3 linked regions of the Oryzias latipes genome follow. The protein of the gene in region 2 binds, or shares a complex with, the protein of the main gene of each other region. Links are inferred from orthologs where the notes say so. Each region holds a gene or a part of one and is shown on either strand. Other genes may lie near its edges.

Evidence for each region.
Region 1: the proteins of pola1 (region 2) and prim1 are in contact, whole or in part, in a cryo-EM structure (PDB 7OPL), measured with the Homo sapiens proteins. The link is inferred for Oryzias latipes from reciprocal best matches to the Homo sapiens genes POLA1 and PRIM1. Residues at the interface, in NP_058633.2 of Homo sapiens: Tyr439, Ala440, Pro447, Glu448, Lys449, Ser450, Phe876, Thr877, Thr878, Gln880, Leu906; in NP_000937.1 of Homo sapiens: Asn92, Thr93, Val94, Lys95, Leu96, Gly97, Ala98.
Region 3: the proteins of pola1 (region 2) and prim2 are in contact, whole or in part, in a cryo-EM structure (PDB 8G9F), measured with the Xenopus laevis proteins. The link is inferred for Oryzias latipes from reciprocal best matches to the Homo sapiens genes POLA1 and PRIM2. Residues at the interface, in NP_001082055.1 of Xenopus laevis: Leu842, Lys853, Ile894, Pro895, Glu896, Leu971, His974, Arg977, Glu978, Leu981, His982, Glu985, Gln988, Lys989, Asn991, Glu993, Asn1007, Asn1009, Arg1101, Asp1102, Glu1106, Gln1109, Glu1221, Asp1224, Gly1225, Asp1227, Ala1229, Leu1230, Met1233, Trp1234; in XP_018121015.1 of Xenopus laevis: Pro34, Pro35, Thr36, Glu37, Asn38, Ile39, Ser40, Leu41, Ile42, Phe44, Glu45, Ile49, Ile107, Phe110, Ile111, Leu114, Cys117, Gln118, Ser119, Glu120, Asp121, Arg123, Ala240, Arg241, Leu243, Val245, Val246, Gln247, Arg251, Leu252.

The regions. Positions count from the first base shown.
Region 1 is NC_019865.2:19,071,708-19,079,250, forward strand, and holds the end of prim1 (DNA primase small subunit), read right to left. Parts: intron 7,401-7,543; coding exon 7,243-7,400; intron 7,158-7,242; coding exon 7,051-7,157; intron 6,968-7,050; coding exon 6,894-6,967; intron 6,813-6,893; coding exon 6,676-6,812; intron 6,000-6,675; coding exon 5,941-5,999; intron 5,741-5,940; coding exon 5,631-5,740; intron 5,550-5,630; coding exon 5,458-5,549; intron 5,377-5,457; coding exon 5,244-5,376; intron 3,424-5,243; coding exon 3,354-3,423; intron 3,282-3,353; coding exon 3,175-3,281; intron 2,944-3,174; coding exon 2,845-2,943; intron 2,770-2,844; coding exon 2,750-2,769; 3' UTR 2,527-2,749; downstream 1-2,526. Other genes in the region: naca (nascent polypeptide-associated complex subunit alpha), read right to left, coding at 1,191-1,260. UniProt on the Homo sapiens protein: Catalytic subunit of the DNA primase complex and component of the DNA polymerase alpha complex (also known as the alpha DNA polymerase-primase complex - primosome/replisome) which play an essential role in the initiation of DNA synthesis.
Region 2 is NC_019878.2:15,178,406-15,187,065, forward strand, and holds the start of pola1 (DNA polymerase alpha catalytic subunit), read right to left. Parts: upstream 4,838-8,660; 5' UTR 4,714-4,837; coding exon 4,665-4,713; intron 4,432-4,664; coding exon 4,304-4,431; intron 3,209-4,303; coding exon 3,112-3,208; intron 3,036-3,111; coding exon 2,961-3,035; intron 2,862-2,960; coding exon 2,746-2,861; intron 2,574-2,745; coding exon 2,511-2,573; intron 2,425-2,510; coding exon 2,323-2,424; intron 2,256-2,322; coding exon 2,123-2,255; intron 2,053-2,122; coding exon 1,908-2,052; intron 1,444-1,907; coding exon 1,271-1,443; intron 1,155-1,270; coding exon 1,042-1,154; intron 204-1,041; coding exon 90-203; intron 1-89. Other genes in the region: pcyt1b (choline-phosphate cytidylyltransferase B), read left to right, coding at 6,440-6,478, 8,547-8,646. UniProt on the Homo sapiens protein: Catalytic subunit of the DNA polymerase alpha complex (also known as the alpha DNA polymerase-primase complex) which plays an essential role in the initiation of DNA synthesis.
Region 3 is NC_019873.2:24,454,612-24,462,638, reverse strand, and holds part of prim2 (DNA primase large subunit), read right to left. Parts: intron 2,137-8,027; coding exon 2,010-2,136; intron 1,868-2,009; coding exon 1,785-1,867; intron 1-1,784. UniProt on the Homo sapiens protein: Regulatory subunit of the DNA primase complex and component of the DNA polymerase alpha complex (also known as the alpha DNA polymerase-primase complex) which play an essential role in the initiation of DNA synthesis.

The sequences.
Region 1 (7,543 bases), on a different chromosome or scaffold from region 2:
TCAAATGCAGTTTTAAGCCTAAATTCTTTTTAGGTGTGCTCTATCAGAAAAATGCTGTAAGAACATGTTACTAACACCTATTTTCTTTGGAGTGTTTGGTAAACAACACTTTACTAGAGGGAAATTATTTTTTTGCAACGCTTAATTTACGTTTTTATTAAAGGAGTGCTCTCAATTTCAAATCAGTGCATCTTCCTCAAAGCCACAGGAACTTCGAACATGATGCTTTATCCAATGAACAAGTAGCCATTTCTTTCATTCCAATTCCTAAAAACCTGAGGCACATTGACCAAAGTTTTATAGCAACAAACTGAGCTGTTGCTGAACAAAGAACACTTTAATTCCTTATTCAACCTCTCCTTTCAGCTAAATCAAGGGGCTTAAAAGCAACATCAACTTAAAATGTTTCAACTTTGTTTATACTGGATGACCAATGGATGAGTGTTTGCATTCCCTAAATCACCAGCAGTTATAGCTGTTCAGTAAACTAATAACATACACCCTAAAATAGAGCTTTAAAACACAAATTCAAACTCGAAATCGAGGTAAATCAAAACTCTCTAATTTATGTCTACAACTCATAATACATTGTTTAAGCAAATTTTTCTTAATTCTGTCTAAAAGTTACAGTTTAATTAATGTTGTAAACCTATTGTGCTCCTTATATTTAAGTATACTAAGCAGCACAAATGCCCCACTCCAAAGTCAGTTTTTTTATGTTTGCATAGTTTAAATAATTTCATTATAATTTATAAATACTTGTTTGGTAGTTTTTCATAAACGGCACTGATTTGAAACACACACCACACACAAAAAAAGCACTCAGCGGAGGCAGCATGCAGTCTGTGGCAAATCCCAAGGCCAGAACATGCCATCACAACCCATTGCATCAATGAAAGAGGGGTTCTGGATTAATTCTTTCATTTTACATTACTCAAGATCTTTGGGAAATAAAAGTAAAAACACCCGCGTGCGACCACCTGTTCAGTGTCTGTCAAACTATCTAGGCAGTTGTAACTCAGTGTCTGAGTGAACCCCTTATGACCAGCCAAATAAACGACGATTCCTCTTACTAAGAATATATAGAAGCACTCATTGTAGACGTCTTAACGTCTTTTTCGAAATCCAAGACCCCCACTTCATTCATACTCCATCAAACAAGCATATGGAAATAAGTCAATGATACGAACCAGTTTCCACTTGAGGCTGCTGCATCTCCTGCTCGGTGATCGGGACAGTTTCTGTCGCTTCACCAGGCATTGTTGTCGCTAGAAGACATAATTACACGTAGTGTTTTACCGGCAAATCAAACAGTCGACACACTTTAATCAACACTATTGTTCGGTCATCACAGAACCTAATCGTTTATCGTTATCATGGCCGGTTGAACAGGTGACGAACCCATGCTTAAGCGACGGTTAGCTCCCGCTAAGCAGCGACCGCCCGAGCGCCTGCTCATTCGCCTTTAACCGCCTTTTCCTGCCATTGCCATCACTTACATCGGTAACCAGATGGCTATTACTTTAATAGACGTACATCTGGCATCAAAACGCTCACTCCAAGTCACTCAGTTCGCTACTAAAAAGTTACATATCGTGCTCCCCCATTTTGAGCTGCTTGTCAATGCTTCAGCAGCACATTCTTCACTACAGAGAGGCATTACAAGAACAATAATTCAACCAACGTGATGGTCACATCTCAATTAAACCAGCCAGGTCTTTAGCAAGGGCATACATGTAGGAAAAACTGCCAGATGATATTGGATTTCAAGCGGAGATCCTCACCAACTCGGGACGCTAATTCCAAGATGGCTGTGAGAAAGAACTCCTGACCCCAGTTTTTGCGTAATATCCGGTGGAGCACCTTTCTACTTCCGGTATCATTAGAGGTAAAGTCTGGTGTGCTGTGTAAAAACGTTTCAATTTTTGAATCAAACTTATAGTCTTTTTATGCATTAAAAACAGCCTTCTCTTCGTAGAAAGCATTGAATATATCTAGGTTAAAAAATTTGGGAACACATTTTGTCATAGTAAATGTTTATTGTAATCTTTTAAAGAGGCTTCTTTTTGTCATTTGAATCAAATTTTCTGTCAGATGGGTTTGGCATGCTGGGAATAAATTTACACTATAGAAATTAAATATTAAGTATTTGTAAGAACTTTTAAAAAATGTTTTGTTAAAAATTTGGCTCTGCAAGCTTGCAAATAATGAACCTCAGGGTGCCTGTTTTTTTCTTAGTTCAGTGGTTCTGATCAAAAATGATAAAAATTATACCAACTGTGCAAATAAGTTAGTATGGGTGTCTTCAATAATTTAGTCTTAGTTGTGGTCATTTGACACACGCTTTTATCAGTTATTTAAATTGGTTGGTAAAGATTATACGCCCTTAAAATTTTTGTTCACTTTAGTTTAGGAGACACCTGATAAAGAGACATCCTCACAAACATATCAAAAATATTTTTGGAAGTGATTAATACTTTGCACTCTAATCAAATCCCTGTTTTTAAATAAATCAATCACAAAAGGTTGAACAAGAGCTTAAATTTAATACATTTTATTGAATGCCTCACAAATATTTATACACCAGCAAAATGTTGGAAAAATGTAGAAAATTACAAAGATTTGATACAAAAAGATATCAAAGTCACAAGAGTCAAATGCACAAATGCATAAAGCACTACACATCCATCACCACATGTACTAACAGACAGTAAAATCTGTTATTTTTAAAGCACGAGTTTGATGCCTGTCAGAATTCCATTTGATCATCTGGAAGAAAGAAAATTCAGCAAAATGAAAAAAAGAAGAAGAAAACATGTTTTAGTTTGAAAAATGAGAATTTACCACTCTTTCTGAGAAGTTCTCCCTTCCAGGAACGAGTCATTCCATCCAGGAAAGAATCAAAGTATTTCACATACTTTGCCAGGCTGGTTCTTTTGTAATCTGAGGAGAAAAAAATGACTTTTTTTGGTTTCTGTGTGAGTTTTAAAAAATACAAACTCTCAAAAATGAATGATAAATACTCTCAATAGGAAAGTGGTACGTTCTGTTACTTTACTTGTTACAGTAGCCCCGTTACGTAAAGCCCATCAGTCGTTACCTTACATTTTTTACACATAACAGCGTACATATTTTAATGGCAGGGCATATTTCAGTATTCTTGTCTTTGAGCACCTCTCATCTTCCGAGTCTCAACTGCATCTTTCTCATTTTCTTTGTCTTGGGATTCCTCCGACTTTTCCTCTTCTGTTCTGGGACGATCCAGCTCCTCACAGATGCGACTTTAATACAGCAGAGGCCTCGTTAGTCTTCCTGCATCAAACACACTGAGGGATGCCGAATTCTTCCCTTACCTGATTGTAGGCACAACAAATGGATCAAAGCTGTCTACTTCTTTGAGATCTATGGGAACTGAGATCCGACCTGAAAAAAATAAGAAGTGTTTTATCAGTGTATTATCAGACTACCGGTAGTTAGTATTCAGAGATTATTTAACTTAATGTTAATGGGTTTGAAATATAAATTAATAACTATTTGTTTTTAGTAGGCTGCGAGAAGTTGAAGCTGGGGTAGCTATGGTGCTCTGGGGTTCTGTAATCTTTTCCCATCTACTTCTACCCTTCCTCTCCTCCATTATTGATCATCATTCATCATTTAGTTCTCCATGCCTCTGTTTGGTGCAGTGCGATTCATGTATTGTCCCTCTTTCCCTCTCCCCTCCTGGGGATTGGGAGTGCTTCCAGATTCCAGTTGGCTCATCCGTGCTCCTATTCCTGACCGAGTACCTCGTCTCTGCTCCTGTTCCTACACCTGGCTGTGGTTCTTGTCTCAGGCTCGACTCGCGCCCCTGGCTGTCCCCCCAACCACGGCTGGATGAAGCTCGTCTGCTGGACTTTATATATGTAGTTGTAAAGTTAGATAAGTTAGTTCTTCTCTATGAGTTCTGGTAAATCGCCTGTCCGTCCTGGTGGAGGATCCCTCCTTCATGTGGGCACCCCTGAGGTTTCTTCGTTTTTTCGAGTTTTTTCTTACTGCGAAGGGGGGTCTAAGGGCAGGGATGCCAGTCTAGCTTAGCTTAGTTTGTTAGTTCATTTTAGCATTTTCCTATTGAACTCTTTGTATTCATGATCCTTTTGAGTTCATGTTTCACTTCGAAGCCCATCGAGACGACTGTTGTTGTGATTTTGGGCTATACAAATAAAATTGAATTGAATTGTTTTATTTGCTCAATTAAATTTTCTTCCCAAATCTTTTTTTTTTCATGCTGCATAAAATAAAATTAAAATCTTCTTGAAACTTCTATTAGTTCTTTAATCAAATTGCTGTGAATCAGGAGCAGACGACAAATGTTTAAAAAAGACCGTATTTGTGACAGAGGTGACAAGCTCCCTGCTTCGTTCCATTCTGATGCATCCACTTGCAGACATTTTGGACCTCTTGGTTTTCCTCCTCCGAGCTGGCATCTGGCTCAGAACTGTGCGACTGCATTGCTCCGATATTGCTCACCTTTTTCTGTACTGGTAATGTTGGGTGGAGGTGAATTTTTAATGAAATACTGCCCTGCCGCTCTGCAGAAACTGTCGTAGAAAACAACAGTTTTGTTTGTGTGTGGCTAAAAACGGAATACCGATAATAAAAAACCACTGGGAGCACTTTCCAATGGACAAAAGATTATCTGAGTGGGTCTTTAACAAAACAAAAACAATGACAGAAGTGTCTGTGTCCAGATGAAACAACCAAAAGCTTATTGTGAGTCATTTAAGAGCTCAGGAAGTATTCAAGTTTTACTGGAATATGAAAAAAAAACAACCCACAGACTGCTCTGTCTTTTGTTTTCATTGAGCGCAATGCTAAACTGCAAATATAACTGAAAGAATTTGGTGAACTCTTGAATAGTGTAATCCAATATAACAATAAAGGGGCAGGACAATATTCATCTTCCAAAGCCCAGTAGTTCATCTTGTCTTCTATTTTATTTCAAATAGTTTACAACAGAAAGCGTGCAATAGCTTCAGTTATTTATTTCAACAACAGTCACCATTCCAAAGAGAGCTAATTATTTTAAGTAATAACAAAATATCGCATCTTTAAAGGTTTGCTTTTAATCCTTAATTTGAAAGTTTGACAGTTGTTGTTTTTTACATTCTTGTATGACATTTGCATTTTTGTCAAATCTGGCTTCATATTTATATGAATTTGTCTTAATGACTGCAAACTTTCTGCTCCTTTTAAGGCATAATCACCTGTTTTGGGATGGACACTGAACGGACTCTTGAGCAGATGGTTCACCCCTTTGCTGACGTTCACGTCGAGCCGAGGGTAACAGTACTGCAGCATGATTTCTTTTTCAAAGTGTTGGCCTTTTTTCACAGTACCCTAAGAAAAGAAAAAAAAACAGACGTCCTTCTGCACAAGAAAAAAAGATGTTATAAAATAAACCTATAGAAAAGTACAAACCTGCTTATTCTTAGCTTCATTTTTTATCATTTTCCAGAGTTTTTCTGGTTGCTTCACACCTTTCATTTTGGTCTGCAATTCATTTCTGACATGTTTTTGTGTATTAAGGTTGTAATTGTTTTATCTTATTGGCTCATATTAACACAAAACTTGTGACTTAAAAAAAAGGATATCTTCAGGCACAAGGGCCAGCACTTTGTCCACACACTCCTTGCGACCCAGTATGTCTTGGTCCTGCACCGCGTATTCCAGAAAGTATTTCTCCACCACTTCCAAAGATGCACTGTTAAGATTACAAATGTGGGAAATCTGAACAAACTGAAACCTAAACAGAAGAAAATGTTCAATTCTAGTAAAACAGAACAGTTTGATGCTTTAAAAATGGTTAAAAGTCTCCAAAAATAAAAGATTCACACCATTCACTGATGTGGGACTGCAGATAAAAATAGAATGCGTTTGAAACATTAAAATGTGGGTTATTACCTGATAAAGGGATGAATTGGATCTGTCAGGACCACTTTCTTCACCGTCTCCTCACCGCCCTACGAAGCAAACATGAGTTCAATAAACAGAAACTGAAAAAGAGAGATTTACAGGAACTGCATGAAAATGTATCAACAATGTTCCCTTATTTATGGAAGTTTTTTTTCCACCCATAATTCAAAATAATATTCAATTCTCAATCAACAATTAAATTTGCAATTTGATCATGCAATTTAGAAACGCATGTGGCAGATGAATATACCAAACTGACAAATGTTTTGCAGTTTCTTTAGAATTTTGACAGAGAAATATCACGGCAAATAGAAAAGCAATAGAGTTTATGTTAAATTAGGATGAATGTAAAACAAACAAGTAACTGAAATATATATATTTTTAATAGTGATTTATAAACTGGAAAATGTATTTTCAATATGCATATCCAAATTCCACATTGAATTATAAATTGCAAAATCCATTTTTACTTGTAATTTTAATTATGGTAACAAAAACCTATGACTAGTGGTTTTTATTTCAAATTACATTTTTAAAAATGTAACATTGAATTCTTATTTTACATTGAATTTACATTTTAAAATGGCAAAATGAATTGTCAGTTGGGAACTGAATGTTACTACGAAGAAATCTTCCACACTTGTCTCTATTTTTTAAACAAGCAAACCTCTTTCGCTTTTGTTTTTATAAACTGTTAAATTAAACCCATTTGCACCACATTACCTTGACCAGACTGAGGTATTCTGCCACAGCGGAACGTCCTGCGGCAGAGAGCTTCCGGGCAGCTTCATCACACACCCAGCAATGCACTCCTCTTCTGCCGGAGTAAACCCACAGCAAGTGCTGGAAACCAAAGTCGTCTGGAAATGCCAGAAAGCAGACTGCGGCTTCAAATAGGTGTGGAGCAGTGAAAAAGAGGTGAAGAGACACTGAAGACAAACCTCGGAGAGCCCTGTCCAGAATGTGAATGGCGATGGTCATCAGCGTCCAGCACTTGGAACAAATATCTGCAGCACTACAAGTGAAGTTTTGACATATTTAGTACATTTATGGAGAAAGCAAAGACATTACAAAGTAATGGCATATCAATAGTTCTACCTGCAGCAGGTGCGGACATCATCGTAGTCGGTCATGTCAATGTCAAACACAAGCTCCTTCTCCAGAGCCTGGAAGCTGCCAGACTTTACGGTGTTGTGTTGGTTAGGCTGCAGGTGTAAAGGAAGCCATCAGCTCTTTCTGCATGTCTGCATTGATGCTCAGAGAAGCAACATCAGAACCACGGTTACCAACCCTGTGACTGTAAACTGCTCCAATGTCGATCTTGTAAGGGTTCATCTTCTGCATTTCCTTCTCCAGCTCGTTCTGCGTGCTGAATGACTGGTAGCGAACATAGATGTCATCCTTGAGAGTGAAGGAGAACTCCCGGTTCTGAAAGTAGTTTTTTTGCACTGAGGAGAAAGAAAAGCAGGAAGAAAGAAAGATCTGTTCATTTTATGAAACCAAACACAAGCTTTAGCTCAAACATTCGCTTGTTATTTTGACCAAATATTCAGCTAAATTAAACCATGAATTAGAATTCAACTTACAATAA
Region 2 (8,660 bases):
GAAACAATTTAAAGAAATGTATAATCCAAATCCAACAGGACAAAAACTCCTTAATGCAATAGAGATGACAGAGAGGGACAAACACCGACCTTTGATTTGAACTTCATGACCTTAAATTTCTCAGAGAGCTCGCTGAATTCTTGGTAAACGTCCATCATTCCTACAGGCTCGCCAGACACTTCGCCGGTTTTGGGGTTGGTTTTCTGTTGAGTACATTCAATAAGAGTGGAGAATTTTGAAACATGTTTGAGTTTACCAACATTTAAGCGGATTTTCAATTTAAAAGCCAAACAAAAAACAACGGAAATACCTGGAACTGAACAAAAACTTAACATTTTTTATTACGTTTTAAGCTACTTTTCTGGACAGAATGAAAGATTAGATTTGATTATTTTAGACTGTATATCCCTGCACCGAATATGTGGGGGGAAACAATGACTTCCTGATTGAAGCTCACGTACAAACAAAATCAGCTGGGGCTGAGTTAGTTCTCCAAATCCACTTCAATTCGACACATCACCAACAGCGAAAAACACCGTCAGGTTTTGGTCTCTATGAATCAGTTGAGCTTTTGAGAGGTACAACTTATTACCTTTGTTTTTTTTTATTTATTTATAACAAAATCAACTCAAAAAAGGGGGCGTGGCTTTTTTGGCTAACGCACTTTTAAACATTGTGCTCTGTAAATTCCTTTGGCTACTTAGTCCCACATATTTGTCCAGTTTTGGAAACAAATTGAAAAAGCTGTATTTGGACCAGTACTTCATCAGACAGAGTGATAGTACTCATGGCATATAAACATGTGCTTTACATTAAAGGGAACTTACGGGATGGACTATTGTACTGTGGAGCCATTTCTCTAAAGATTGAATGATCCTTTTATTTTGAAAGCTGTTTTAACAGACTTCTGTCTTGCAGTTTTTCCAGATTGTTTGTCACCGGTGAACGTGATCATGTCAGTGTCCAATAAAATGTACTAAAAAGGTTCTACAACGTTTTCTTTCGTTGACCATGCATGAGTGCAAACACAGTGGCACTCACGTATTCACGAGGTAGAAGGTAAATTGTCCGCTCGATGTTCTTGACGGTGACGCAGCAGCTCACGTGAGACTTTGCCGACTGAATCCACACTTTCCCAAACAGGTAGACCACACCTGAGCCACGGCCAGAGATAAATATTAGGACAGGCACCATAAACCTCCGCCAGATCTCAGACTTTGAAAAGAAGGAGGTCTTCTTCTGATTCATAGCAGGTTCCACCACGACTTACCCGGTTGGTTGTAAGGGTCTTCAAAGGCGTCCAGCCAATAAAAGCGAAAGGCCGGCTCTCCGTCCTCACCCTCCACCAACGGCAGCTGGCTGGAGTCCACATGCACTTCTGCGGGGACGTCACTCGCTCCAGTCTCCTCCTCTTGACCCCAATGACCCCCAACTCTGGAGGGACTGCAACAAGAAGAAAAACTGTGAAGCTATTCATCGAAATCAAATACTGGATTAACAGCAAAGGAAGCACTACGTGCTTGTTTTCCATGAAGTACAAATCAAATCACCTCGTAATCATAATGGCTACTCTAAATTTGGCGTAGCTGAAATCTGGATCAAAAGTGTACGGCTGGACAGCTCCAATATTGCTAACTATTTTTGTTTTACTGCTAATGTTAGGTTGGAGGTGTGAGGGGCTGTAAGGTAGCGGGAGAGCGTGTAAACAGACCAACAACCACAACTCCGAGGGGAGTTTGTAATGAACTACTGCTGCTCTGCAGAAACTATGTCCTAGAAAACGACACAATTTTTTTAACATTTTTGCTAAAAAACAACATGATCATAATCAAAAGACCACCGGGAACGGTTTAGGAATACTACTAAAAAAATGTTATGAGGAAATCAAGAAACCTGGATTAACTTACAGGGGGGCTGGACTCAGGGGCTCCTTCTTTGGCTCAACTTTAGGCACTGAGGGTGCTGCTTCAGCTTCTGTCTCCTCTTTGATCTCAGGCTCCGTCTCCATCGGTTCATCAAAATCCACCTCGTCTAATGCCAGTGAGTCGTTCTCTGAGAAGAACATTGATGATACAGTCACGCTTAAAAACAACAAATGCCAAAGAGCTGGAGTCTTCCTCACCTTCTTCTTCTTCTTTTGGTTTTTCCACCTTTTCACTGCTTTTTTCCAGAGGGGGAGACGGGCAGGCCGGCGGTCTGAGCTCTGCAGGTGGAGGACGGACGGTTTTAGCCTTTAACCCCGTCATCGGAGACTCCTAAAACGACATGAGTGAGGTTAAGCGGTCAGCTTCAGACATGCAGAGTCAAGAGGTGTGGAGGTACCTTAGGCATCTGATGTCTGATGGAGAAGGGGTTCATGGGTGAACCCAAAGACTTCTTCTTCTTCAGCGTGATCACTGGGGGAGGAGCCAGAACCGCTGGTTTCTGGAGTATAAGACAACACATCGGATGAGACGGAGACAGGCAAAGATTGAATTAAACAGGCTTTTTTATGAATTTAAATTACTGACCTCAGAGTGCAGGTCCTGCAGAATATCTCCTAACAGGTCGTCTTTGGATAAATCAATATCTTTCTGCAGGATGCAAAAAATGACAAAACTGTGTGTAAACAAAACTGTAAATCCAGTTGATGTTTTTTTTTTAGAAACTATAAAAGGCCAAAGTGGATTCTATAATGAGGCAGAATAAAGATATTTATACAAAAAAACTGAAATTATTATCATTCCAAGAGAATAACCTACACACCTCAGCAGGCTTTTTCACATTACTGTTCATGAAAAGGCTCTTTATGGTGTTGGGTTTGGTTACTGCAGCTTTCTTCACAGTTTTCTTGGACTCCGCTCCCTTTGCGCCCCCTTTTCCTGCAAACAAAAAAAACAAACAAACTCAAATGTGTTTCCACAGATCTGACATTTGAGCTCCTACCCTCAAAACTGCAACTCCCTCCGACTGTTTTTTACCCCGTTTTTCCACCACGTCGTCGTCCAAATCGTCATCGAAAATTTCTCGTCCGTCCTCCACATATCCCGTACCATCTAACAGAAAAAAAAGACCATCTGGGTTTTTTGTTTTGTTTTAAATTTTTCACGACGAAGAATAACTGAGTTTTACCATCGTCGATAATCCAGTCGTCTTCCTGCCTTTCTTGTACCAACTTGGAGTACTGCTCCTCATCCACCTCCTCGTACACATGACTAAACTCCTCCACCTGGAAAAACATCAACGGGTGTCAAACAAGTATCAAAGTAGAATGGCACAAATTTGTCAAAACTCACATTGGATGTGTTCAGACTACCACAATAACAGACTACATGGTGTGGGGCTATCCAGTGCCCTGGATTTTAACACAATTCAGAAATTGTGCTCTCTGCTTGTTTTTGCCAAGGTAAAAATCTAGTAAATATGAACATTTCACAAAGCTTATTGGTGAATCCACTGAGTCCTAATGACGAAAGCTTACATGGTTTATAAAAAGATACATTAAAATTGTGTTTTTAAATGACAAACAGTTCAAAAACAATGAATTGCGGTCCATATTCTCCAATCGAGTGAGCATCAATGCACGCTAGTTTCTCACAAAGACTTCTGGAAAATTTCCAGGACATTGGATTTAGGAATTGTAGATTGGGACAGCCCAACAACAATCTTTGATCATTTTTTATGAGAAATAAGCCGCCGTGGGTTCCTAAAAACGTCCATGACACGAACCTCTCTTTTTCAGACAGATCCATTAAAGTGACGGTAAATAATGGCATCTTTGGTGTCATGGAGAAAAATCAAGCTTTTTTGAGATCTTCGCTGATTTGAAGTGGAATTTTAATTTTAAATAATATCAAAATGAATATTACTAAAGTAATTATTTTGATAGAAAAAGTCTTAGTGATTAACACCCAATTACTTATTTTGTAGAAGACTCAGAGTCTCATAATCAGCTGATAAGTATTTTCCCACCTATTATTACAGACATTACTTGATTTTGATCTTTTTAAAACACATACATACATATAAATAAATAATAAATATATGGAAACGCTATTGCTGCTCACACTTAAGTGAAAGTGTTTAATGTTTTGATAGCAGAACAAAACTATATGTGCATATAAGTGATGTGTTAGACTATTTTCTAAAGTTTTTCTTTAAATGATAATAAAAATAAAGGGAAGGGCTGTCTTTTAATTTTCCTGCTTCAGGTTTTCTAGATTGACTTTATTTTGTATTTTACTTGGTTTTTCAAAATAAAATACACGAAAACAACACTTCAGTGACAAAGAACCAGACAAAGGAAGAATCTGTCCCGCTTGACCTTGTATTTGATCTTCTCTCCCATCTTGGCTTTCTTTAGTTGCTCCAAAGCGGACTTCCTGCCGACCTTCTCCCTCTTCTCTCGCCTGGAGCGAGATTTGGCCAGGCTGCAGCCATCGCCGCCATCATCTGAGCACACAGACAGACAGACCAACCAAGCTGACATCTCTTCTATTCTTGAATGTTATAATCATTATAAACACACAATGCATAATAAAGACACATATGTTAATTGGATATTTGAATTTAGGGCAAAAAGCTGGCTAGAAAGCGTAAACGTGAGCTAGCTACTAAACTGTGTTAGCCGCGTGCTTCGCCTTCTTCGTTAATTCTAGCTAGTCACAGACTCCCCGCAAACTCACCACTTCCCGCAGCGTCCACGTCTTTCTCTGGGTTTGAAACTGGAGACATAACTTCTAGTTTAAGTCTTTATTGGCTGCCCACTTCAAGCCGTGCAAAGAGGGGACGATGGCAGGTCAACAACAACAATACAGTCGCGCCAAATGATCTTCCCGGGGAAAGTCATATGCAGGAAGTGACGTCATACCCAACGACATCCTGGCTTTTGATGCGCGCAGCTATCTGTCCACTGGGTGGCAGTGTTGCTCAATGTGCAATTAGCTCTTGGGTTTGGTTTTCAGGAAAACAACTGTGCTTTTTGTGATGTAAACATAACAGATCATTTGTTTTATAAATGTATACATGTAAAAGTTTTTCCCACACAGGCAGATTTTGGTGAAATAAAGAAGCGATTGTTTGGATTTTTACTCAGATCTGTTTGATAGAGTTGAGCTTTATGTTCCAGAACTGAGATGAAATTCAGTTTGATTTCTATCAGAATGAAACTGCAAAGCTTTGTGCTTCAGTGGATCAATCAGACATTAAACTCACTCTGATTCCAACTTCATAAAACCTATAGCAAACAGAACGTGGTTTTCATGAATCGATTTAACTTTTTTTTTGTGCTCTGAATGTGAGATTGCTGCAGAATTCTATACAAAGCCAAAGTGTGGTAGCCTACTATACTAGATGCAAGACACATGTTTATGAATAAGCCAAAGAAAGGAGACTGGAACCAGATTAAAAGCAAAGGTTATAGGTTATTATGGTCCTCCTGATTAAAAAAAAATCACATCATATTTTTCAGGTTTGGGTTTCATAGTTAAAACTAAGGGTGCCAAAAGGAAAAATAAAATAAAAATCCTCTAACTTGCATTACTGTAAAATTCTTAATGTTGTAAACATCAACTAGTAAACTACTTCCAGTTCCTCTTTTGTCACTAAAAATCTCTGAAATTCCTTCCAAGAAAATTAAATATTTATGTAATTATATTATTAATAAATAACAATATCTTTCATATATGAAATAAAATGTAAAATATGCAATTCTAAATTTGTGTGCATAATTTATTTTAAACTCTTATTCAAAAAAGGACTCTGTTTTATGACAGCAGAAGAATGCAGTAATCTTTACATGATGAAGCCCACGCTCTGCTAAAAAATATATGTTTAAAAAGATCTTAAAGGTCAAATTAATCATGTTTTTTTTTCACGATTGTTTTTTTACTTCTTCTTTCAAATTAGTTACCAATACGTTTTTTTAAAGCCAAGACTCTCGCTTCTCCCTGATTGGTTCGTTTTTTGGAGCTCTGTCATCTTCGTTGCCATGGAGAAAGCTCTTCACAGCCTCACCCCTTCCAATGCTCTTCCGATGGGCTGCCATCACACAAAGATCGTCTATTTGGATCGTGGTGTACTTGTGCCTCGTAATTGAGGCTATTTCTCCTAAATATTCAATTTATAGTAACAATTTTTGTTTAAAATTTTAGATAGAAACATATAGAACAAAAATAAACAACACATGATGTTTTTTTAAATCAGATATTAAGCCGCGTCTAATCAATTCAAATAAGAAAAGGATGTTGTGGTATCATAAAAAAAGATGGAGTGAGGCTCATCACATTAGCCCTCTTTTTTGCATTGAGTCGTCACGGGGAGGAGTCAGAGGGTGAGTAAAGGACACAGAGTGGGCGGGGCCAACAGAGGAGACAGAGTGAGGAGGAGAGAGGCATCGTCTCACTGATGCTGAGTCACATAGCAGATAGATCTCTGCTACATCCCATGAATCTGAGGAATAATGGAGGAGCTTGAACACACCTGCCCTCATCCCCGAACGGTAGGGCATCTGTGACTGGCTCTGTTTTTGTCTGTAGGTTTGTGTGTGTGTGTGGGGGGGTGGGGGGTAAGTGTGACAAAGACTGGGGAGGAGACTGGGCATCTTGTGTTACCCCCTTGTTATGAAACAGATGCTGTGCAGCCTCCTGCTGCTGGCATTCACAGACTGCTGAATGGACAATGTTTTTGTCTGCTGTCTTAGTAAAAACAGCTTTACTAAAAGGACAAACGCCCAGTTTTTCAGAGACTGGGACAAAGACGATATTAGTGCTTCTAATTTTCCCTCTTTGGTATAATTCCTCATTTAAGTTCATCTCCATTTTGTCTGTGCTTCATTTCAAACTGGCCACTCTTGTAAGAAACTCCACATTTTCCTGCCTTTGCTACCCTCTGTTTGTCTTTCTGGATTTAATCCTTCTCATGCCAGATGTTCTTTGTTTGTGCCAGAGTCAGCTTTACAGAGCGTGCTCCCATCCTGATCTCCAAGTTTAGCCTATAGTATTTGCTATTTGCTAAATTGCTGGATTCTAACTGTTCCAGATGATTCAGAGAAGAGGCGAATCCTTCCTTAATCCATCAGTGTAACAGAAAAGCAACAGAAATGTGTTGTATGGTCCACCTGGACTGTGGTATATCCCACATAATTTTTATTTTTAAGGACAATGGGGCTGGGTTCTCATGAGTTAACACATTTTTGTTGTCCTCCTGGTTAAAAGATCAAATCAAAATTACACCAAAGAGAAGACAGCATGACAGGAGTCGTTCATCTTTCCCAATGATTATTACATTTGTTGCTTTTGCAAATTATTTTAAATATTTTCTACTTAAATAAATCCAGTTTTATAAATATTTCCTCAAATTTGAAATTTGAACTTTGCTTTAAGGACATTACACCCTTTTTGTGCATCTCCTTGAAACATTTGTGCAATCTTGCTGCAAGGCTCGGGCAGAAGGTGAAACCAGTTTTCATGTACGCCGATGACAATGTGTGCTTCAACTGTCTCACCTTTATTTAATCGACACAAGCACATTTTATGGTGAAATTTAGTGTTCAGACTGATAGCAAAGCATTTTTTCACACCTATTTTTTAAGCCTCATGAGTGCATCTTTCACAGATCTTAGTGAAACTTCCTTACAAAAGATCTCACAGGTTTTTTTTTCCCTCAAAACCTTCATGATTACTGACATAAAAACACCGTACTCTCTGTTGAACAGTTAAAAAAATGCGGAAAGATGCAAATCTGTAAAAATAAAACAAATCAATTTCAGAAAAAGTATGCTAGTTAGTAAAAAAATAAAAATTGTAGTTCTAGTTCTGGCTCCATGAAACTCCAGTCCACCCACAGGTGCATAGACCCCCCTAATGCTGCGTACAGGAGTACAAATGGGATGTTAATAGGAGGGCCTTTGAATACTTGGAAGGGATGTTGAATCCCTTCTCCTGCAGGTTGTTCCCGGAAGATGCATTGACGTCAGGTGCTCGTTCACGGATAATAAATCTGTTTCCGTGTTTGCATCCTCCTCTCACACACCCACGGCTTCCTGCTCCTGTGCTGGTTCTCTTTCTGTGGTGTGACTGAATCTCAGAGAATATTCCCAGCAGTCAACAGATGGCAGACACTGGCAGTTTTTCAGGCACAATCGCACTGCAACACTTTGCCCTTGATGCAGTTTGATCAGAAGGATGACTTTTTTTATTGGTCTTATCTTACATTTCATTGGTTTTAATGTATTTGAGCCGACCCCGCAAGTTGAATACATCTTCTTGTGATTTCTGACACCTTTACTAAATTATACAGTTGGGGTTGATGAATGTCACCTCTCTCCCGTTGATCGATGAGCCTGAGCGTCCATCTTGCTGTGTTTTCTAAAAGCAGAGTGAGCATCAGCTGTGGTCAATAGCTTAATGGAGTTTGATGCAACTGCGAGGGCAGAGACAGGAAGGCTGCATGAGAACATATGAAGTAGAACATTTGAGCTTCAGTGAAGAGGGTGCTTATGTATTTTGCATGCTGTTAGCGTGTCCTCCCTCACAGATCCTATTTATGACCCACTTGCTCTGTCTCAGACTCTCATCGAGCCTGCCATTTTTGCCAGGGAGACCAGCTGCGACTGTCGAGCACCTCACGAAAAGCTCACCATTGAGCAGGCCCGCAGAGGCACCCCAGGTACACACCTTCAG
Region 3 (8,027 bases), on a different chromosome or scaffold from region 2:
TGAGTATTACTTTATTTAAATCGTTGTGAATCAGGGGCAGACAAGAAAAGGCTGCTTAAAAAAGAGCATATTTGAGACGCAGAAAACACTCTGGGTGGGCCACATGTTCCCTGCTCCACTCCATTCCAGTTTGGGGTTTTGGCAGCGATGAGTCATAATGAGAGCTGAAAAAATACCCTAAAGGAAATCATTTCAAATATAACAAATCTAAAATGCATCATGTGTTGATGTATTTGTAGTCTGAGTCAACTCCAGCAGAAAGTTTGTTAGAACTTTCTTTCAATTTTGTTTTATTAATCATACTTTTATTACTTTTAATTGTTTCTATTAATGTTTTATGTAAAGCACATAATGACTTTGTACAAGAAATGTGCCTTGCCTTGTGACTTTCTCAAAGGTAAACTGACTGGACTTTTGGTCTTTTGCACAGTCCTGGCCTCCTTCAGCAGCATTTACACAGTAATTCCACACCTGTGGTTTACTTGGCTCCTTTTCTGAAGCTGAATCATCAGAAAAAGCAAAGTCTGCAGCTCTTGCTGGATCAGGAGCTCTTTTAGTCTACCTTTGGTTCTTCAATAATTCCCTGCATCACTGTACGACGGCCTCCAGCACTCTCTGCTGCAAGGCTGCTGTTAGATAAGTAATGAGTTAAGCAGTCTCAGGCAGATATTGCTGTTTTATTTTAGTTTTAGAGCAGTATGAGACACAAACACCAGCTGTTCTGTCAATTCAATTTACATTTTTCCCTCATAAAAGAAGGACAAATATCATTGGAACGTGGCAGCAGGGATCCACCTGTTTTGGGGGATTTTGGATTTTGTGCAGCCTTCCAGCAGTCAATGCAGGTGAGACATTTGAAAGCTACATCACCAAAGCACCAGAATTAAGTCGTTTTGACAACGTCCTTTGGTCTATGTGGGAAATATTATTCATTAGGGAAGAGAGGGGAAAATCCTTAGAAGTAAAATCATCTCTTCCAGCATCAAGATGATGTTGATTTTTATGGCTATTAAATCAAATAGTCTTCCTTCATTTGCATGGGGAACGTGAAGGCACCAGCAAATAAAACGCACAAACTAGGAAGGCCTGACGAGGATCAGAATGCAGAATTATGGGTCATTTAAAAAGAGCACTGTGATATCATCCTATGAGGAGTTTAGAGGACTAATGCAAACCGAATGACACGATGTTAAGAGGGATTGTTTACATCAAAAGGTAATCAATGCTTAGTGAACTACAGTCTCAGTTTAAACCAAGAAAGTTCAGCATCATCACATCAGCTGTTGCTTAGATACAACCAGCACGTTTTTATTCCATAACGAAGCCAGTGCAGAAGGAAAAATAATACATAATTATAATCTGCCCAATAAAATAATATTTTCCTTTTGTCCAGTAAATGGAAATCTGCTTGTTTTGGACTCCATGTGGTTTGGTTTTCAGCCTGGTGTTCGTTCTCCTGCATCCTCAGTGAAGGGAGAGCTCTCAGAGTGGTTTGGACCTGTTTTTTACGTTAATATTTCCTAAAATTACATGGCGCAACTTTGGCAGCAATTTTAGTTAAAACCATTAACATTAAAGCAGAGCTTGATCAGAACTGTGGCTAAACAAATATTTGATCAAAACAGATTTATTGAGAAAAATCCCATTTTGTTTTGGGCGACTTTGATGGTGTTGGAGATAAAACGTAACAACCAAGATGTTCTGAGCAGAGAGCAGGATGGCTGTGGTGGCCACAGGGGAAGTGGAACAAACAGACAGCATTAGCATAGAGATGATGGCCCCACCTGTGTTATACTGCTGGGAGACACCTTGTAAAACTGAAGCTTCTGCTTTAGCAGCTCTGGGTCGCTGTGGCGGAACGGACATCCTACCAAAATAAAAGAACTAATTTAACTATCCGATAACATACAAGACCAAAGGCACGAAAAAAAAATGCAAGAACACAGAAAACGGTAACAATTTTTGTTTTTAGAATGTTTTAATAGTTGGCAGAGAAGCTAAATACTCACCATGATGGTCCCCTTGACTGGGTGGGTTTGATAAAATCACCTTCATGCAACTGTACGGCGTGTAGTCCGCTCGCTTGCCTTCTTTGCCGTACATGTGACGGATGCCATAAGCATATGCTTTATCAAACTGCGAAGACAAAAATGAGCAGAAGAGACGCCAGACGTGAGGATGAGAGCAGCAGAGGGGCAAGGTTGGGGTGAAAACGGACATCGCCGTACATCAGGTCTGCTTTGACAGGGTGTCCTGCTCCATGAAATATAGAGCTATTAAAGAGGACCTGCTGTACAGGTGCGGCAACACGTGAGTCTGTGAAATTACCTTAATTAGGTCATCAGTCTGTGCTTCAGTCTATTGTCCTACACCCCTTTTTAACCCACTGCAAACAGCTTCCACAATGAAAGCAGTTTAATATGGGAATAGTTGCAAAGGGTGCTAAAAAAAAAAGTTTCTCAACTTTTGTCAAATATAATCAGAAACATCAGAAAATTTAGAACCAATTTCACGATATTAGATAATGATACTTTGCCTTAGTTTTTATTTGGTTTTAGGTATGTTACTAAATTAAATGGAAGGTGTCCTAAAAAGAAGTAAGGAAATACTGTATTTTCCGGACTATAAGTCGCCCTTTTTTTCATAGTTTGGCAAGGGTTGCGACTTATACTCCGCAGCGAATTAGAACTAAATTGAAATAAATACATTGTTAACCCTCCTGTTATGTTCATTTGTGAGGAACAGAGATGATGTTCCTGGGTCAATTTGATGTATGAGGTATGTTAAGTGTTAAGAGGATGTTAAGTGACTCAGAGAATCAGCAAACCTTTTTTTACAGTAAGATCTTGAAGGCTAAAAACATAATATTCTATTTTCCAATGATTTCATAGATTCAGAAATGCAATAAAAATGACAACTGTTTCTACAAACACAGGATGAAAACAGAGTATTAGTTGGCCAATGATGCTTCATGAAAGGACAGTCTGCTATGATTGTGTCATATGAGGTAGTGCAAGTTATTAGTTCTTGGTCTCAGATTTTGTCAAATAAATTTCCCGTCAAAATGCGACTTTTAGTCCAGTGCGACTTCTGTGTTTTTTTTCTACTTTATAATGCATTTTTGGGCTGGTGCGACTTATACTTCGCAGCGACTTATACTCCGGAAGATACGGTAGTTCAGATCAGATCGACTGATGCTCATGAGCTTAAAAAGCAAACAAAGGCGTTTCTGAAGAGTTCTGACCAGTTAAATTCCTATTTATTTTTAATTTATTATGGCCCGCAGCATATGGTCTGCAAGGACCATATTCTTTTTTGTAATTCTTTTTTACTGTGCCTTTGAGCAAAAGCTTGACCTCCGCCACATACAGTACTCAAAAACTCACTAAACTTTGGACGCATCTGGTACCCGATGAAAATGAATTTATTTATGTAGCCCAATATTAAAACAATAGTCGCTCAATAGGCTTCATACCAGTAAATGTATAGTAAACATGAAATCATAATGAATATGAAGTTATAAAATTCAATAGGTAATGGCTAAACTAAACAGACTAAACTTAGATCCTCCTTCTCAGTAAGGAAAAACTCCTTAAAAAAGCCTCAGGGATGTCTACATGAAGGAGGGATCCTCTCCCAGGACGGATAACTAAACAAAAGCAGTTGAGTTAAATCGGAGCTAAACTAGAATAACCAGCAGCCGACTGTTGCTGCGGTAAAAAAGATCAAATTAAATAAAAAATACAAAAAATAACATCAGTAGGATCAGAATATCCAACTAACTTTCTTTTTTTTAATTTTCTCTTTTTTAACCATCGATCGAGTCGGCCACCAGTTACCCTACTTATGCTTTCTTGTTTGTTTGTTTTTTATCCCCCCCCCCCCCATCTGTTTTCTTAAGCCGCTATATCCCTTTCGGGGTCACGGGGCTGCCACCGCCTGCCGCCATTGACCGGCGGGCAGACGGGAGCGCAGTGGCAGCAGGTAAGTGGGGATCCCTCCGCCTCCTGCTCTGGTTTTTATTATTTTGTTTCATGATTCCCTTGTCTCTTTAGACGAGCATGGACTTTTATTTATTTATTTTACACCTAATAAGAGGGAGGTCTACTTTTTCCCCCAGCACTTCTGGATCCAGAGCATTGTTTATTCGATCAGCTGTTCTGGCAACAAAAAAGGCCGCCCGACATCACTGTTATCCGCTTTTATTATTATTATTACTACATAACAGGGCTTTGCTTAAAATAATTTCCCTTCCAATTGATCAATAACATTCTAAAAATTTTAGTTTTAGTTTAATACATGAGGCTGAAAGCACACGCTCACTCAGTTGAATTGATGTTTCGGGACCCGGTGTATATGCCTGTAACCCTGGGCTGTGATGTATCTTTGGGGAACATTTTGTATTTAAAGATGAGTAAGAGTCGTACTCGGACCAAATCGTATTTAAAATAGACATATCAAACGTAAAACTAAATGGCGTATCCAGATTTTTTATTTTTTTTTAGATTTGTATTTATGCATCTGTTTCTTATCAACAGTCACCTTACCTCATAGAAAGTGTGTTAATTTTGTAGCTTGCTCAAGGAAACCCCAAAACAGTTTGCTTACCCAAACAAAAAGACGAACTTCTCCATTTAAAATTCCCACACGTTCCATTTTTCAAATGTGATGGTGGTAGTATCATGGTTTGGGGACATTTTCCCTGATTATTATAAATTTTGGTAGAATTTTTCAAAAGTCAATTCAATTCATAAGAAGTCTTGTATTTTTACTGGTGTTGGGACTTTTCCAACATGAACTGTTTATTAAAAATATTTCACACCATGATGACGTTTTCCTGTAGTGATGTTTTTGTCTGCTTATCGAAATCAGTGCAAAAACTCTTTACTCAGAAAAAAAGTATTAGTGGATTTTATTTCCTGCTTAGTTAGCTTTATAAATGATTAAAAATAAACCGGTTTATTAATTAGAAATTTCAACAACAACAAAAAAGTGACACCCTGAACTTAAAACAAATAGCAGATCACTCCTCAATATAAAACTAAAAAACATCACATTTTTATGATGGCAACGGTTTTATAAAGGGCAAACTTTTATTTTAATTACGTAGTAATCATCTTAAACCATTAAAATGTATTTTAGTAACTCTGCCTCTTAAAACTCTCAGTAAAATTCAGCCAGAGCGCTCTCACAAAGGCAGAGCACAATCACAGACACCATTTCATATTAATGTTGCAATAAAACCCTTGAACCTGCTAACATGACAAGCTGCAGTGGCAGTTTAAAACCCCATCAGGTCTTTCTTAACTCTTATAAATCAAATATTAATTCTGAAGATCTTCAAAAGGATTTAAGAAGATATTTCTTGATTTACATCCTCTCACACTATTAAAGGCAAAACATGAAATTCAATGGCACTCAAGGCTGTTTAATATGCATTATGTAGACATAAAAATGATAACTAAAGTTATTCAAAGACAAAGTTGAAATAAAGTTTAACTTTTTGACCTGCAAAAGTGTGCCACGGTTAAATATAGTGACATTGGGTGAATAGAACATCTCAGGTAATACAAAAAAAAACATTTTGATCTCATCGTACAGATAAAATGACAGCAGCACAAAAAGATGAAATCAGAAAGAGGAGAAATTGTTTTGCAAAGAAATAGAAAGAATAAAACCCCATCCATCAAAATATTCAACCTCAAATCTCAAGAAGTAAGGAATAATGCTGTCAATGAATGAAAACAAGGTGAATGTCACAGTAGGAACAGCAATATCAGTGTTCAGCCATTTTAGACTCTATGCTCCAGAGCTCTGATGTGAAAAACTGTCATTTAGTGGAAATTAATTGACTTAAATCTGACATCTGTAAAACAAGCAGCTGAACAGAAGTCGTACCCCGAGGCAACAGCACACCACAATGAGCTGCAAACACACAATCCTCCAAATGAACAGGCTAACTTCTGTGGCAGAAAGAATGAATAGATCAAGTTGATTCCATCAATTTTCTCTGGCCCTCTAGTCTAAGATTACATTGCCTCTTCCTCCGGGCCTCCCTTTCGGCATCGCTGCCTTCCATCTTCTTACTTCTTGCTTGCTGCATACTAATGAGCGCGGCAAAGCCAGAGTGCAGTCGCTGACACAACACATGCATCACTGTGAGCTGGTCAGCACTGTGCTGCTGGAAGACGTAGCATCACACCGGCTCTGGGAGTTACAACACGGCAACGACGGTTACAAGGTTTTTTTCTGTTTGATTCAAAGCACACTTTACTATTTTCTTTACTTAATTTTCTTTTCTCTAAAGGTAGATTTACAGTATGTGCTCAAAGAGTTTTATTGACAAAAAAAGCCTCCTGTTGATGTAAAAGCCCCTAATGAATGATAGATTTAGGGCAGATTGGCCCCATGCTGACCTATTTAAAGTAATCACAAGGACCACAATTACAAAGTAGAAAAGGAAACAAGGTGCTGCAACGTGAACTGAATGAAAGTTTTAAAAGAATGGGGTTACAAAGGGATTCCCTAGTGAAAAATGAAAATTATAATTATATACAAAAGCAAGACGTACAGCTTTGAATGTGCTGCATCAAAAGAGCCTGGGATATGTGAGAGCAAAAACAGCATCACAACTATTTTAGATTTCTTAGAAAGAAAGAAAACATTTTGTAAAAAGAACAAAAAATAAATAAATGGGTAGAAAAGTTTCATTCTTTTCCAAAGGTTTGAGGTTTTGAAATTTGGTTAACAATGTCTCTTAAAGAACAAACATTTCCAATATATAATATAAGATTTTTTTGTGAAACTCCAGTCACTGGGGGGAAAAAACAGATGTAAACATATTTGATGCAGATTTAGGTTAAGGTGGGTGGATATCAATCCATCAATTGATGATTGGTTTCTTCAATTTTTAACTTGAGAATCAAAAAATGGATGGGATTTAACACAAAAGAATTAAGCAGAACCTAAAGGAACAGCAGGTTTTTCAGCTGGAGCACACAAACATGGCTGACCCTGCAGACGGAGCGATCCGACCGCGCCTGGCGTCGCTTAAAGCTAACGTTTGGAAGCATTTTGGCTTTTTCAGTGTCGAAGGTCGTGCCACATGCGAGGTGTGTCATACCAAAATTTAGCATTTAGGGAACACAAAAAAACATGGGAACTCGTATCGCGCACTTCTGCACTGTTTTTAATTCTGTTCAGTAGCTACCTGGGTACATAAGGTGTTTCTCTGACAGGACACCGCATATATTTAAAACAAGTTAAGCTCAAAATTGTATTCCTGAGTATTTTCTTATTCAAATCTTGCGAATCAGGAGCAGACAAAATAATGTCAGTGTTGGGATGTGTGGAGCTGTGAGCTAGCGGGACAACAAGTAAACAGATGGGTGACGGAAAGTGGGGGCGGGCTTCCGCTGGCCAACGGTCCCACCCAGAACTTTGAAAAAAAAATTTCTAATGAACTACCGGTACTGCTGCTCTCCAGAAACTATGTCCTAGAAAATGGAAAGATTTTTTTTTTTCATTTTGGCTATAAAAAGCATTATCATAATTAAAAGACCACTGAGAACGCTTTGAAAATAGATCAAAAGATGATCGGACTGGGACTTAAACAAAAGTTAAACAAGTATAATCTTTTCTTTACTGTATGCGAGCAAAAAACCCACAAAAACAACCAAACTGAACAACTTGGAGACTCAAAATGCTATTTCAGCTGTTTCTCTTTTTTAAGAATGACCCAAATTCAAAAGTAATTTTTTTTTTTAAAAAGTAATATTTTGAAAATACTAGGAGGACATTTTCTATCCCAGCTGCAGCAGATCTGTGCTGTAAACGCAGACTATTGTCCTCAGTCACTTTATCTAAATCCCAACCAAGTTAAAGTCAATAACTAGAGCTGCAGCACGACTCCCAAACCGCTGACAATGATGGATGATCACACAACTACTAAACTAATATCACAGAAGTGGTATAGAGCAAAGTTGATCTACTCTGGATTGAATTTAATTAAATCGGTGGACTGATCA